Tamandua tetradactyla: one gene and its partner. The protein of the gene in region 1 purifies or fractionates together with the protein of each later gene. This does not show direct contact. Links are inferred from orthologs where the notes say so. Each region holds a gene or a part of one and is shown in the gene's direction. Other genes may lie near its edges.

Region 1 (7,627 bases):
AAAGAAAGAGATACTGATGAAAAACAAGTTCACAAAACAGTGTTCAACATCAATAACCACTAGGGAAATGTATATTAAAACCAATAATACAAATCATTACATACCCTACTAGAAGGGATATATTTTTAAAAAATCAATGATAGAAAGCATTGACCAGTGACAGACAATTGGAGGCCCGATTTATTCCTGAAGATACACAATTGTACTGTCAGTTTGGAAAACAATTTGACAACGTCCTATAAAGTTCAATATACGTTCACGTTGTGCTCCAGCAGTCCCACACTTAGGTATTTTATCAAGAAAAATAAAAGCATATGTTCAGACAAAGCCTGCATTTGAATATTTATAACAATTTAAATATTAAGCCAAAACCAGAAAGAGCTCTGTGTTTATCAGCAGATGAAGGTACAAACAAACCTTAGTACATCCATATAATGAAAATATGTTCAGCTATTGATCTATGCAATAATATGGGTAAATCTCAAGAGGGCACATGCTTCCTGATTCTGGAATCAAGTGATGTTTTCTGCAGTTTATGAAAGAAATCGAAAACACAATTTATGCAATTTTTAACTTAGAAACCAACTTTTAATTTCTCAAATTGTAGAAAGATTGTATTATCACTTATTTCATTCTATAGTTTTACTCCACATATAAGGATCTCAATTTGTAAGAAGTTAAAATGAATTTATTGATTAAATAATTATTTAAATTTTATCTGCATTGGGATCAATAACATAACTAGCAAATGATCTCTTTATTATTTATCAATATTTTCTTGAATATAATTTTTAATATTGATAAATGTTGATTATATATAATAATCTATAGTGACAAATTTAGTATCCATTTATTAGTATTTAACATGTGATACAATACCCTTGACTTTATCAACTCATTATAAAGTACGAATTTGATATGTCCTCACTGATTTTGAAGATTTTAAGCGAAAGAGCAATGTTTAGGCAGAAATAATCACTATAGATATGTGTGAGTCCCTAGACTCACAATGAGGGAAGTTTTGAAGAGGCAGTCTCAATGAAAATCCTAAGAATTCCTGGTTTTATATTATATATACACTTCTATCCCTTTCCTACATATCATTCTAAATCAACTAATGTGATCAAAAGGCAAATAAGCACGTAAAAGTACAGCAGTAATTTTTATCAATCCAGTAATAGCATTTGTAGCTAAATGAATATCAAAATGTGTGTGTGTGTATATATCAACTTGATATGAAAGCATTTAGAAAAACTTGAAATTCATCTAATATTTTTCCTGCAGAAAAGTTTGCATTATTTTTTTTCAGTGCTCCCTTGGTCTGTTTGTTTCTAAGACTGTTGAAAATGGGATTTAAAAATGGAGGAATTATGGAATCGAAAACAGAGAAAATCATATCCAGAAACATGTCTGACACTGAAGATGGCATTAAATACACATATAAGGTTGAGCTAAAGAAGACAAATACAACAATGATGTGAGGGACACAGGTGGAAAAGGTCTTTCCTCACTCTCCATTGGTTGGAAACTTGAGCACAGTAGAAAATAGGTGAGTATAAGATATGACAATGAAGATAAAGCAGCCAACACCAAACCTCATGGCAGACACAATTAAGAATTCATTGTTGAAGGTGTCAGGGCAAGAAAGCCTCAGTAGAGAAGGGATGTCACAGAGAAATTGGTGCATAACAATGGACTGACAGAAGGACAACTGGAAAGTGTTACCACTGTGCACATCTGCATAGACCAGACCACAGAGAAAAGCAGTCACAGGGTAATCCTGGGCCATGATGGTGAATAATAATATTTCCACGCAGGCACAGTAAAGGACTAGGAAGATCTGAGTTGTACCCCCAGCCACTAAAATGACCCTGTTGTCAGTGAGAGAGTTGACACAGGCACTGGGGACAATTACAGAAATGAAGCACATATCTAAGATGGACAGACTCCTGAGGAAAAAGTACATGGGTGTTTGAAGATTCTGGTCGAGTGTGGTGGCACTAATGATGAGAAGACTCCTTACCAAGGAAGCCAAGTACATATTAGTAGGAATAACAATGGAATGTTGAAACCTTAGCTTCCACCCTACAGCAAAACCCATGAGGAGAAAGAAACTCAGTCATCATGGTGGAACTGGCCATTTTCCAGATTTATTGATTGACCTACTAACAATGTATCCCATACCACTAAGCCCTTGCTGGTCACAGCTGCTTCCAATAAGGATGCACCTGAAGGTACCATCTGGAGAGGAGGAAAGAGCCAAAATTCCAGCAGGAATCCTTTGTGTCCCATCTTCTCCAGGTTCATCATCTGGTCTACTCTGTTAGCCCCTCTAGGATCTTTGAACTCCCACCATGTTGCATTTGAGATCAAATCTGTTTGTTGAGCTGAATTCTTTTCAATTCTTTCCACTTCATGCCCGGGCCACCCCCATCTCCAGTTCACACAGTAGTGCAACCCCTATCATACTGTTTTGAAATATTGTTTTTAAAAATCTGGCATATCATGATAATAAAGATACTATAGCTTTATTTTCATTGGCAACCTAGTAGTCTATTGATGGATTTTATTGTACATAGTATTCCATTGTATGGATTTTAGTGTACTGTAATTTATTTATTTTGGATTAGGGATTATGTTGGAGAAGCTGAGGAGTAAGCATTTCCAGGCTTTAATCATTGCCCAGGGAAACTAAAAATCACAGGCTAACGATTACCACACTTTATACCGGGTCAATTGTTTTAAATTTTTAGTTGCATGGGAGAGGTGTTTGGTAATTATAAATAAAAATAAATATAAGTAAAAACTACATGTAGGTTTTACATTTTATAATTTTCTCTTTAGTATTCTGCCAATAAGCAGAAAAAGATACTTTTCTCCTTTAAGAAGGTGTTCTTAACTTTTCTTTTGTGGTTAGCAAACACTTACTACAAAATATTAGTAAACATTTAAATTCCCAACTCTAAGTAAACATTTGTGACTTTCCACAAACTGAAAGCTAACTCTTTAGCTACCTCTGCTTTGCAACCTGCAAAATTGTTACTTTTATGGAAACTCCAAAGTGTACCTTGGTACCTGTTTGGGCCACAGTTATCCCTCAGAAGAATCAAGAGATACGTCATCATTACAGTGTTGTAGTTTCACACTACTATGTACTAGTTTATGCAATCCAAGGCTGCTGTGTAGAGTAGTGCAAGGGAGAGGATAGGATGGGGCTAAATTCCATAAGCATTCCAATCCCCAAACCATTTGCTATGGTCTCAGTTCACCCAGTGTGTGTGTGTTTGCATGTGTGTGTGTTTGGGGATGTTGGGGTATTACCAGTTCCTAATTTGCACAATGGCACCAGAGGATAGCAGAACTCCAGTGGCAGAGGGCAGAAAGGAGAAGGTTGAGGCCGGAAGTTCCTTCCGCAATTCCAAGTTTCCCTGAACCTCAGTCTCTTTATTTGTAAAACTGAGTTATTCAAGTTTGCCCAGTCTAACTCAGGAGGTTGTTGGGAGGATTAGATGATATATACAGAGGTGCTTTGTAAAGGGTGATAGCCATACTTAATAATAATAAAAATTACTAGTATTATGCTCTTAGCTTCCTTTCTGTCCGGTCACTTAGCATGCTCCAGTAGCTTGAGGACAGAGCTGCACAGTGGGACTACCCAGCTCATTTTTTTTTTTTTTAGTTTTGAAATTCTTACATGGAAATAACTGCCTAAGGCAAAAAAAGAGAAAGGTCTTAGCTGTATCATTCAGGTTTTAAACTTAAGATTTGTGTTTAAATCTGTTCATTTAGGCATCTAGTTTGGTGCTGTGCTTTATTTCCTTTTAGCGGTATTTTATCACTAATTTTCCTGAAGGTTTTAGTCTGGGTAGTTAATCTTTCCTTTAAATGGACCAAGATATCATCGTGCTCTTAACGTTCACATGGAAAATAATCTTGTAAAGGGTTAGTAATTATTTATCAGGCTAGGAACTGGCTGGTCAAACTTTCTTTGGCTCAACTCAATCGTTTATGAAGTCACAAACAGAAAGTCCACACTGGAAGTTTACGGTAGTTCAAGCCCTCTCTTTTTTTATATGTGAGGAATCGGAGGTTCCGAGTTTAAATAAATTGTCCAGCGCAGGAGGTACTGCTTGGAACCCATTCTTCTGAGTCATCCTCCCTTTCATGCAATATGTTACAAAGATACTATAAACCGCAGAATTCAGGATCAGTTGGAGCATGTTTCTGAAGTTGAACTAAGAGAAGGCTAAGGTCTCACAGGTACTCGGAAAGAGGATTCTGCGGTTTAAGCGGATCAGCGTACTCTGCCCCCAGCTGCCTGGCCTCTCCCACTTCCTCCTCTACCTTGCTAGTCCCGCCCCTTCAGGTGACCCCCGCCTCTTCCTGATAGCCCAGGTCTCTCACCCGCCTTGCGGAACCAAAGTCCATCGGCGCCGGGGTTTGTCGGATCTTTCTCACTCAGACTCACCGCAGAGGTGACTCGGCAGCAACGTCTCGCGTCATCAGTGACAGCCCTGAACCTTGCTACGCTTTGCGTCGCTTGGCCAGGGGCAGTCGCCTCCTCCGTGGCAAATAGTCCTCGGCGGGGTCCGGGCTCTTGAATAATAGGAGAGGGGAAGCGCGAGAAGTTGCAGTGGGGACGCAGAATCGACAAAGAGAGAGGACGGGGACGCGGAGTTTCTGCCACAGTGCGTAAAGTTAGTTAAAAACTCCCTCCCTCGTTAGGATCCCTCCGCCTGCAGTAGCGGTGGTGAGGCCGAGGGAGCCGCCATTTTGGATGTTCGGTTCCTGCTGCTACTGCTGCCGCCGCCCCCGAAGCTGCTGGTTTCATTCGAGGTTTCGGGCCGGTGAGTGTCACTTGCGGCGCCGAGAGTATACTGCTGCTTTTGCCCAGCGGCTGCCGCAAGTGCTCGGCCGGAGACATCCTGTCAACACTAGAGGTCCGGTCTCAGGCAGTAGGGGTGAGAAGACAGGACAGAAGCTGAACCAGGAGGGGCCCGGCGCCCCAGGGGTTGCTCCGACTTCTTGAGGGCCGCCCCTGAGGTCTTGGACCTGGAGGCTCAGCGCGCGGCGGCTTTCCGTGCTGTGGCGTTGCTGGGCGGGTGCGGGCCTCCTTGAACCCATTGACTTTCTCAGGCTGCGATCTTCCTTTGAGGGCTCATTCAGGGAGCCTAGGGTTAGCGGGGCGGGCCCACCTCCGCGTGTCTTCTCTGAGCCACGTATCGACGTACTTGTATCTTGTACCCCGATCTTGTCTCTCACAGAAACTCGTTAGCATTTCCAAATGCTCAGTCAAACGCTGTCTGCCTCTGCAATGCCGTTCTCACAGAACCGGACATCTACCTCTCCTCCCTCTAACCTTCCAGCCAACTTCTTTCCCAATTGCCCGTTTTTGTTTTTTTTTTTTTTTTTGGTTGTTGTTTTCTTAACTCACCTGCGAATATACCGGTTACCCTTCTCTCAAACACTTTATCCTACTGACGTCAGTTTCTGATAATTTTCCCGATCTCACCGCCTTGACTGCCTGAAAGAGTTAGGAGGGTTGATTACATTTCCCTATTAGGGTTTGGTGTGTAGGAGATCCGTCAAACCACCCGCCCAGTATGTATTTCAATAGTAAATGTTTATAAAGCAGATTAAATGCTTTTTTGGGGGTGGGTGCGAGAAGGCTGTCAAATGTTGTCTCATTTTGTGAATTACCTTGCAGTGCTTAGCACTTAGGTTTTGGGTTTTTAATGACACTTGTATATTTTTCTTGGTGTTATATGTCCATGGCATGGAAATCTTATGAAGAATATTAATCTGATTTAGGTAGAAAGCAGAGTTATTTTATTTCATTTCATTTTTGTATGATAAAGGGATATTTAACAGAAGAGAGCAAAGATTTTTTTAGTGTTGTAAACTTTCAGGTGTTTTGTATGGTAATGACCTTTGCTGGCTGCCTGAAGTGGTTCAGTGATTTCTTCCCCTCCCCTTTACATAAGAGAATTTAGTCAGTTTAAAAATACTGTGTCGACTTCGTGTATTGGGTTTTCTGGGGGTAGTTGGATTTAAAATATTCACTTCTCCATAATACTTGTCAGACTATATGCATCTTGACTTTTGGTTTGAAAAAATATGGACCTCTAGGTATCATAATCTCATTCCTTTTATACCACTCCTAAAGTATGCTTGTATATAGCATGTTTGGATAAAAAACATTTCACAGTAATTCACCGATTAGGTGAGTGTGAGTGCATCACGGGCAATTCACATCTGAGCCTGGGTTTTTAGATTTGCAAAAGAGAAATAATTTATTCGAGAGCACAGCAGTCTAGTGACTACTGAAATCTAAATTTCTTACTTGAACTGAGTCAAAAATTTTTAATACTTCTCATCCATATATAAATGCATTTTTCTTACCAAGTGATTGAAATGAGACTGAAAATAAATTCCTGTACAAGTCATCTGATGCTTCGGTACAGTACAAGGCATTGTTTTTAGGGTAAATGCTCAATGTTTTTGTCAACTTTTTTTTTTTTAACATGGGCAGGCACCAAGAATCAAACCCGGGTCTCTGGCATGGCAGGCGAGAACTCTGCCTGCTGAGCCACCGTGACCCATCCTTGTCAACTTGTTTTAAGGAGAATTTAAAAAATTATAATAGTTACATTAGATATTAGTGAGTTTTGTGAGTCTGTATTTACTTGGAAGCTATGCCTTTTTTTTTTTTTCTGTTTTAAAGGAGCTGACAGCACTTAACACTTAGGAAATGCTCATTCATTCACAAAGTATCTCCTTGTAGATACCACTGAAATGTTCTATTTCTGAGTTACACTTTTAAAACAAAGTATTGGAAGAGCTATCAGATAGATGTTATTTCATTCATTTCATTTCATGGTATAATCTGATATTTAAATGTCATTCATTTTTAGGTTTGCATTCAGTTCGAAAAAGTGTCCTTTTGCTTTCCAAATTATAAGCAAAGTGCTGTTTAGTGCCTCACTGATCAGAATATGCTTGAATGTCTACTTTTGTCAGGTTGCTGGGATTGTATTTGAAACTAACATTAGTGTTTAGGAGACCTCAGTTCATTTTTCTTTTGAAAGTGGTTGCCTGTTCTTTGGTATTTCACTGACAAGTAGTTCTAGGTTTGGGAGTGAACTTTGAGTAAAGCGGTCAAGTACAGAAATTTGCCAGCAATGGTTTGGTGATTTTCTTTCTTTTTTTTTTTTTTTCACATGAGCAGGGTCTGGGAATCAAACCTGGGTCTCTGGCATGGCAGGTGAGAATTCTGCCTCTGATCCATCCTTGATGGTTTGGTGTTATTTCATCCCAGTATTTACTTTACTTTAAAAAGAAGTCTTAACTCATTGGTGTGCCAAAAAAAGTTTCTTGTGTTTTATAAACTCTTTAACTTGCACAGAATTAAAAAGTCGAACCAGTGTTTTCCAAAACAACTAAGCTTATTTTTAATTTAAAAAGTTGAATTGGGAAACCACATACCAAAACAGATTTTTGCAATGCTTAATCCCCTTATTTACATTTTATGAGGATTTAAAAATTTCTGTGTACAGCAGAATTTAATTGATATCAAAGCTCTAAGACTTAGTTGCATTTAGCTTCCAAAAATCTAAAATGATTATCT
Region 2 (8,298 bases), on another chromosome or scaffold:
AACGGAATGATCAAAATAGGAATATTTGCGTTTGTTTGGTGTTTCTTGGTATTTCAAAAAATTAAATTAAAAGAAAAGAAAAAAGAATGAAGGCTACTGGAACACAGCTCTACAGTTTCAGGGACTTCTCTCCAGCCACTCCAATGCACCATAAACTAAAAAGGGATATCTACATAATGCATAAGAATAATTTCCAGACAATCGTGATGCCTCACTCATATGGATTATCTATAATAGACAAACTCAGAGAACTGAAGTTGAGAGCGTGGGTTATCAGGCTGGGACCTACTGTAAAGGGTCCAAGACCGTAAGCTCTTATAGCAGTCACATATATTTAGAGGTTGCACCTGATATTTCTAAATTCTGGGATACTGAGCTATTTGTGTATAACCTGGTCATTCCCTGAAACTTTGGGTATTTAGGTGACACCTGAGACTCAGAGTTAGAACTCTGAAGCAGTGAAAGTCAGCTCTACCCCATTCAGCAACTGTTAAAAGGCTGAAAAAGTGATCAGACTTCATCTAGAGATGTGAATGAAGCTGATCTAGATGGGACTAAAGTAAATTGGAATACGTGGTAAAGAATAATATGGCCCGTATTTTCAAACTTCAACCTCTGTGCAAGACTAAAGGGAGAGATGTTTATCTGGTAAAAAAAAAAAATTATATTTTAGGTAACACATTATCCAATTTAACTTGTATTGTCAGTTTCCTTAAACACCATAATTATATGGAATCTTGAATAGCGCATGAGAGCTTGTTGGTTTGTACAGTTAGTGTGATAGCCCCAGAGTAATTTGGGCAGAGATTAGAAGAGCATTTGCAAAGTTCCCTTGGGGGAACTTGGGAGAAAGGAGGAAATATTAACTTACCCATCTGGGGAATTACTGCTACTCTCACAAGCAGTGGGGATAACCAATTCCATAGGTTCCACCCTCAACCTTAGGGCTTGCCCCTAAGAAACTTACTCCTGCAAAGAAGAGGCTAAACCTACTTATAATTATGCCTCACAGTCACCCCCCAGAGAACCTCTTTTGTTGCTCAGATGTGGCCTCTCTCTGTAAGCCAACTCCACAGGTAAAGTCACTGCCCTCCCTGCTATGTGGGACATGACTCCCAGGGGTGTAAATATCCCTGGCAACGTGGGAGAGGACTCCCAGGATGAAGCTGGGACCTGGCATCTTGGGATTGATAAGGGCTTCTGGACCAAAAGGGTGAAGAGAGAAATGAGACAAAATAAAGTCCCAGTGGCTGAGAGATTTCAAACAGAGTCGAGAGGTTGTCCTGGAGGTTATTCTTATGCATTATACAAATATCCCTTCTTAGTTTATGGTATATTTAGCCTTGATTCTCTTTTTTAAGAAGAATAAATTGTCTGTTATTCATTAAAGTTTGAATTAATTACGACAAACTTTCTCACAAAGAACTGGTAAACTGTACCAAACATTTAAGGAAGAAATAATACTAATTCCATACAAATTCTTTCAGAAAATAGAAGAGGAAACATTTCTTATTTCATTTTATGAGGCCATGATTATGCTGATAGCAAAACCAGAGAAAGCTATTATCAGAAAAGAAGACAATCATTAACAAAATGTTATCAAATTTAATCTATAAATACATAAGAGGATGATACATCATGACCAAAAGGAGTTTATGCCAGAAATAAAGGTTGGTTCAAAATTCAAAACTTATCTGAAAATCAATCAATATATCAATGCCATCAACGGACTAAAAATGAAAAACCCAATATATGCAAAAAAGCATATGACAAAATTCAATATAAATTCATGATAAAATTTTCAGCAAGTCAGGAACAGAAGTAACCTTATTTCACCTTATAAAGCTATAGTTATCATACTTAATGGTAAAGCACTGAAAACTCTAAAATCAAGAAGACTGGGATACTTACACTCACTACTCTTATTCAACATCATACTGGAGATTTTAACCGGTACGATGAGGCTAGCAAATGAAATAAAAGGCACACAGTCAGAAAGAAAAGACTAAAACTGTGTTTGTTTGCAGACCACGTGCTCATTTATACAGACAATCCAAAGAATCTATTTTTAGAAGCTACTAGAAGAAACAAGTAAGCTTAGAAAGGCTTCAGGATACAAGAAAAATATACAAAAATCAGCTATATTTCTATATACTAGGAATAAATAATCAGAAATTTAAAAAAATTTAAATCCAATGACAATAGCAATAAACTTGAAATACTTAGCGTTTTAGTCTGTATTCTCCAGGGAAACAGACCAACAGGACACATCTGTAAATATTATGAGATTTTTATCAAAACTGTCTCATGTGACTGTGGGGATGCACGAGTCCAAATTCCACAGGACAGGCTGCAAACTGGGAATTCCCATGAAGGTTTTTGATAACATCCCCGGGAGAAGCTGACTAGCTAAAGCAGAGATGGAAATTCTCTCTTCTGACTGCTGAAACCATAACTTCTTTTAAAGTCCTCAACTGACTGGATGAGCCTTCTCTCATTGTTGAAGGCAAAATATCCTCAGTTGATTGTAGATGGAATCAGCCGTAGATGCAGTCAACTTAACTGATGCTTTAAGTCCACAAAATGTCCTCACAACAATCAGACCAGTGCCAGGAGCCTTGATTCTTAAAGATGATTGTGTAACTTAAAGATGATTGTGCAGCTTTTACAATGTGACTGTGTGATTGTGAAAAGCTTGGGTCTGATTCTCCTTTTACCCAGGGTATGGACAGAGGAGTAAAAAATAAGGCTAATAAATAAATAAATAATGGGAGAGTTGATAAAGAGTAAAAATTGGGTAGATCGAAATGCTGTGGGTCAATGAGAGGGTGAGGTAAACGGCATGGGATGTATGAGATTTTTTTTTTTCACTTCTTATTCTGGAGATGCAAATGTTCTAAAAATGATCATGTTGATGAATACACAACCATGTGATGATATTGTGAGCCATTGATTGTACAATATGGTTGGACTCTACTGTGCGGATATTTCTCAATAAAAATATTTTTAAAAATTAGAATAACCTCTGGGATAACCTCTCGACTCTGCTTGAAATCTCTCAGCCACTGAAATTTCATTTTGTCTCATTTCGCTTCCCCTTTTTGGTCAAGAAGGTTTTCTCAATCCCGTGATGCCAGAGCCAGGCTCACCCCCCGGGAGTCCTGTCTCACGTTGCCAGGGAGATGTGCACCACCGGAGCCCTGTCCCACGTAGAGGGGAGGGCAGTGAGTTCACATGCCGAGTCATTGCAAGACTTTTCCATCTCCTCAAACGGAAACTCTGTACATATGAAACATTAACTCCCCATTTCCCAGCTCCACCCCAGGCCCTGATAACCTGCATTTTCATTTCTTCCTCTTGAATTTGCATGTCCCAATTAGTTCCTATAATTGTTTCTCCTTTGGCATCTGGTTCTCTCACTCAGCATGCTGCCTTCCAAGCTCATCTGTGTTATCATACAGTATCAGAGCATCACTCCTTTACACGGCTGAATGCCAGCACCTGTGCTTTTTAACCACCATGTAGTCATAACGATAATGGTAATATTAGCCAACATGAATGAGTTCCAGCTACGTCCCAGGCACTGTTCCACATGCCATGTTGCAGATAATAACTCATGTGACCCACCCAGCAATCCAATGAGGGAAGGACAGTTATTAACCCTTTTCACAGATGCACCGACTGAGACCTGGGCAGAGAAGCCCAGGTGCCCAGGCGGGCGGTGCCAGCGGACTCCACGCCTGGCAGGTTCACATATAAACAATAGCAACGAAAGCAATACCAGTAACTGCTTCCTGACAGGTGCTGCAGAGGCCCCCCTCATCATGCGCCCCTCACCCCACTACCCTCTGCAGCTCAAAACTCAGGCATGTGGAGCCAGTAAAACCCCAGACCTGCAAAGGGTTGGGCAAAGAGTTTCTGGCAATAATGCCGCCTTACTGTGTCATCGTTTACTGGGCCCCTTAGGCCTCTGCAAAATACCATCTCCTTCTCTGATCTCCCAGTCCCCCACTCACTCTCTATACCCCTTCCCAGCCTGGTTGAGTTGCCCCAGAGCTCTTTACCCTTGGGCATCACCTTGTTTTTTGGTTTATACATCGTGTGTCTCTTGCCCTATCAAGAGTGAGAGCAGTACCTTGTCCATTTGGTCACCAACTGGGAACAGAGGCACTCGGTTCATCATGGTGAAAGCAGTTTCCAAAGGGTCAGTGCAGTACACAGTAGGCACTCAATGAATATTTGTTGAATGAATAATAATATGTAATCATAGAGTCATCCTCATCACCAGCATCATAATCATGATCAGCTCTCTTTTCAACATCCTATCAACATTTTAGCATTGCTAAAACATAATAGGAGCTTAATATTTTTTCAGTGAATGAATAAGTGTAAAATTAGGAATAATAATGAAAGCATTTCTCTAATGACAGGAAGAGTCTAACCCACAATTCCTGTCATTAGAGAAATAATTTACTAGTGACTAAATCTTGGAGTGAAGAAGTAAATTAATGAGTAAATATTTATTGTATGAAAGAATGAATTTGGTAAGTATTATTGAGCACCTACTGTGTGCCCAATCTGTGCTGGGCACTGGGGACATGGCCAAGCACAGGACATAGTCTCTGCCCAGCTGGGGCTGATGTGCTTGTGGGTGAGAACAAGAGAGAAATTAGATGGATGGATGGTTGGATGGATGGATGGATGGTTGGATGGATGGATGGATGGATGGATGGATGGATGGTTGGATGGATGGATGGATGGATGGATGGATGGTTGGATGGATGGTTGGATGGAGGGATAGAAGGAAGAAGAGATGGATGGATGGACGGTTGGAGCAATGGAGGAATGGATGAATGGTTGGCTGGATGGATGGATGGATGGATGGATGGATGGTTGGATGGTTGGATGGAGGGATGGGTGAATGGTTGAATGGTTGGATGGATGGATGGATGGATAGTTCGATTGTTGGGCGGATGGATGGATGGATGGATGGATGGATGGATGATTGGATGGTTGGATGGAGGGATGGTTGGTTGGAGGGATGGTCTGACGTCTTCACTCATAAGCCCTTCTGGGTGCAAATGGAAAGCGAGCTGGGACAGCTGTCCGAAGCTCCGCCCCCGCCTGGCTCTCAGCTGCAGTCTTTCCCTCCGCCGACAGCGCGGAGCACCTGGCGGCCTCCCCTTTAAGACGCGCTCACCTGGGCGCTCACCTGGGCGCGGGTGCTTCCGCAGGAAGAAGGAAGCAGCGGCGCCGTCCCCTCCCGGCGCTCCCTCCCCGCCTCCCGGGTCAGCCGCCCGCCACCATGTCCGCCTCGGCTGTCTTCATCCTCGATGTCAAGGGCAAGGTGAGGCTGATGGAGCGGAGTAGGGGGAGGCGAACAGGTGAGGCCGCGTAACTGGACCCCAGGGGCGCCGCCTCGCCGCGCAGGCCCGGGAGGCCCCAGAAAGCGACTGGGGCGCCAGGGCCTTCCCTCCCCCACCCCAACTCGGGGAGTCGAATCCCATCTCCAGCATTTACCGGTGGCGCCCCTGGGGCAAGGAGCTTGCCTCTCTGAGCCTCAGTTTCCGCATTCACAAAAACGGGAGTAACAGAAGTCCCCATCTAGCGAGAAGAATAAAAGTGGAAGTGTCATGCGCGCAGCCCGGCTGCAAACATCAGGCGCTGAAATCCGGGAAGGCAGCCTGGCTGGGAGGCCCTATTCCCCCTGGGGGCTGCCCTGCCCACCCCCCAGCCCCTCACCCCTCTAGTCACTTAATGCAGTAGCAGCAGTCATGATGCTGCTGGTGGAAGGAAGGACACTGAGAGTAACCAGGACAGGTCAGGTGTGTGAGGACCTGCTGGGAGGGCTCCCTGCTCCAAACACGCAGCTCCCGGCCTTAGAAAGTAACTAGCAGGATGGCTGCTTCCTCCTGCCCGGCCCAGGTGGACCCTATACCTGTGAAATCTTTTATTTCTTTTTTCCCTTCCCTCCCTCCCTCCTCCTCTCCCTCCCTCCTGCCCACTCCTCCTTCCCTTCTTCCCACCTCACCAGTTTGGTGCATATGAATTCCCAGGCAGGAGCAGGAATTCTGGAGCTGGGCCACTTGGGTTCCATTCGCAGGCTCCTAGCTTTTCTCCGGGTCCTGACCTGGCCGAGCCTCAACTTCCCCGCCTGTGAAATGGGGAGGCGGATGACCCCAACAGGAGAGCATAGGGGTGAGAAGGAAATAACTGAACAGGCCCCAAGTCTTTAGGGCCCAGCCTGACACCCAGGAGGGCTCCATACCGTTAGCTATTGCCACGGCGTGCTCACGTCACCCGCGCAGGAAACCGAGGCACAGAGAGACAGAGCCTTGCCCAGGCCCCTCTGCCAGGAAGCGGGCTCAGATGGAAGGTTCCAGAACCCCGGTGGTGACTGGTGGCCGGGCCCTCTCTCTGCCCGCCCCCAGCCTCTGATCAGCCGCAACTACAAAGGTGACGTGGCCATGAGCGAAATCGAGTACTTCATGCCGCTGCTCATGCAGCAGGAGGAGGAGGGCGTGCTGGCCCCGCTGCTGAGCCACGGCCGCGTACACTTCCTGTGGATCAAACACAGCAACCTCTACTGTATCCAGCCAGGCGCCGGCCCGTGAGGCAGGGGGTGATGGCGGCTCTGGCCCAGAGAGGGTGGGATGCGGCCGGGGGCCACACAGCACCTGGGCGGGCCTCGGCAAGGCGTGCGCATGCATGGGGAGCCTGTGATCCGGGTGGTGGTGGGGGTGGGGGGGTGTGAGGGGTGTGTGGAGTGTGCATGTCCCACCGCCAGCAGCACCTTTTCCTTAGCGCTGCTGCCTGCAGTGGTGGCTACCACCCTGAAGAATGCAAATGCCTCCCTCGTGTACTCCTTTCTCTACAAGGCGGTGGAGGTAGGTGCTACTGGCCGGCTGCTCTGTCTGTCCTGCCACCTCCTCCAGGAAGCCTTCCTTGTCCTCCCTGGGTGGGGGGTAGAGGGGCCTCTGGGTGAAATGCTGCCTGAGCCGCCCCCATCAAAGCCCCATCACAGTGTGTTTTCATTGGCTGCTCACTGGCAGAGAGGGTCCGGCTTGGTCCTGAGTCAGAGGGTCTGAGCACCAGTCCCAACTCCCCTCCTTCCTGGCTGTGTGACCTTAAGCAAGACAAGGCTCCTCCCTGGGCCTTTAAACTGGGAATAAGAATTCCTGCCTCAAGGTTAATCTGACTGATACCTGTGAAGTTGCCTGAAACCGTGCTCAGTATACAGTAGGTGCTCGATAAATGTTCACTGTTACTGTTGGCATTTCACTAAAGTTATCATCATCATGTAATAGTAACTTATTGGGCAATTACTGGGTGCCACTCTCGATGCGTGAGAAGGCGCTCAGTACATATTCTTTAACAAACAGCAAATATTGAGTTGCCTCCTCTCGGCCAAATGAAAGGGGACAGTCCCTTCCTACCTGCTCTCAGACTTAATTAAGCGACCCAGACAACATCCTGAAGAATTAAAGGACGTTAAGGAAATTAAATAGTACATTGGGTTAAACACTAGCTGGGGTGCTAAACATTCACGGGGGTCTTCATTGAGGAGGTGGCATTCAAGCTGAGGCTCAGACGGTAGACTAAGAGCCCACTGTGGGGCGAGCTGGGGGAAGAACGTCCTAGGCAGAGGGCACGGCCAATGCAAAGGCCCTGAGGTAGCCCGGACGAGCGAGGGGAAGGTTATTCCAGTGTTGGACGGTGAGGGGTTCTCTGCTGGGGTCATACCTACTTGCCAGCAGGGGTCCTCAGATGCCCCCCCCCCCCAAGGACCTGTGGATAGAATCCAGAGAGTCCCTGAACTTGGATGTGGTTCCTTATAATGAGTTTCCTTTCCCATCCCATGTATTTTTTTTTCTGCCTTTACAACTTTTATTCTGTAATGGATGCACATATCACCAGAAACTCAGGGCTCCATGGCCCCCCCAGAAGGAAATCCTCTCGGCTTTTCCACCTCTTGGCTCCCAGGGCTGCCTGTGTTTTCCCATCACTGCCCCCAACGTGGTGGATTATACTGGTTCTGGTTACTTGTCCATCTCCCCCCCTAGACTGTTCCAGAAGACCAGGAACTCTGTCTGGTCTGATCACCATTCATTTCGCAGCACAGGCATATATATATATATATATACAGTAGGTGCTCCATCAATGCTTGCTGGCTGGTTGGCTGAACGAGTGGAGACTCAGCCCGTGGCCCCAGCCACACTAGCCGCACCTACGGTGGGTGTCTGTCCTGCCCGCGGCCCCCAGGTGTTCTCTGAGTACTTCAAAGAGCTGGAGGAGGAG

What was found. Proteins that work in one complex are often made in the same cells at the same time.
Region 2: the proteins of AP1G1 (region 1) and AP1M2 purify together in Homo sapiens (affinity purification with mass spectrometry; 4 studies listed by BioGRID and IntAct, counting the BioPlex papers as one, with this or other methods). This does not show direct contact. The link is inferred for Tamandua tetradactyla from reciprocal best matches to the Homo sapiens genes AP1G1 and AP1M2.

Annotation. Positions count from the first base shown.
Region 1 is NC_135342.1:66,901,458-66,909,084, forward strand, and holds the start of AP1G1 (AP-1 complex subunit gamma-1), read left to right. Parts: upstream 1-4,451; 5' UTR 4,452-4,688; intron 4,689-4,694; exon of another isoform or gene 4,695-4,847; intron 4,848-4,861; exon of another isoform or gene 4,862-4,961; intron 4,962-7,627. UniProt on the Homo sapiens protein: Subunit of clathrin-associated adaptor protein complex 1 that plays a role in protein sorting in the late-Golgi/trans-Golgi network (TGN) and/or endosomes.
Region 2 is NC_135337.1:91,262,908-91,271,205, forward strand, and holds the start of AP1M2 (AP-1 complex subunit mu-2), read left to right. Parts: upstream 1-5,218; 5' UTR 5,219-5,305; coding exon 5,306-5,347; exon of another isoform or gene 5,348-5,384; intron 5,385-5,520; exon of another isoform or gene 5,521-5,604; intron 5,605-6,031; exon of another isoform or gene 6,032-6,154; intron 6,155-6,268; exon of another isoform or gene 6,269-6,431; coding exon 6,432-6,588; intron 6,589-6,819; coding exon 6,820-6,887; intron 6,888-8,262; coding exon 8,263-8,298. UniProt on the Homo sapiens protein: Subunit of clathrin-associated adaptor protein complex 1 that plays a role in protein sorting in the trans-Golgi network (TGN) and endosomes.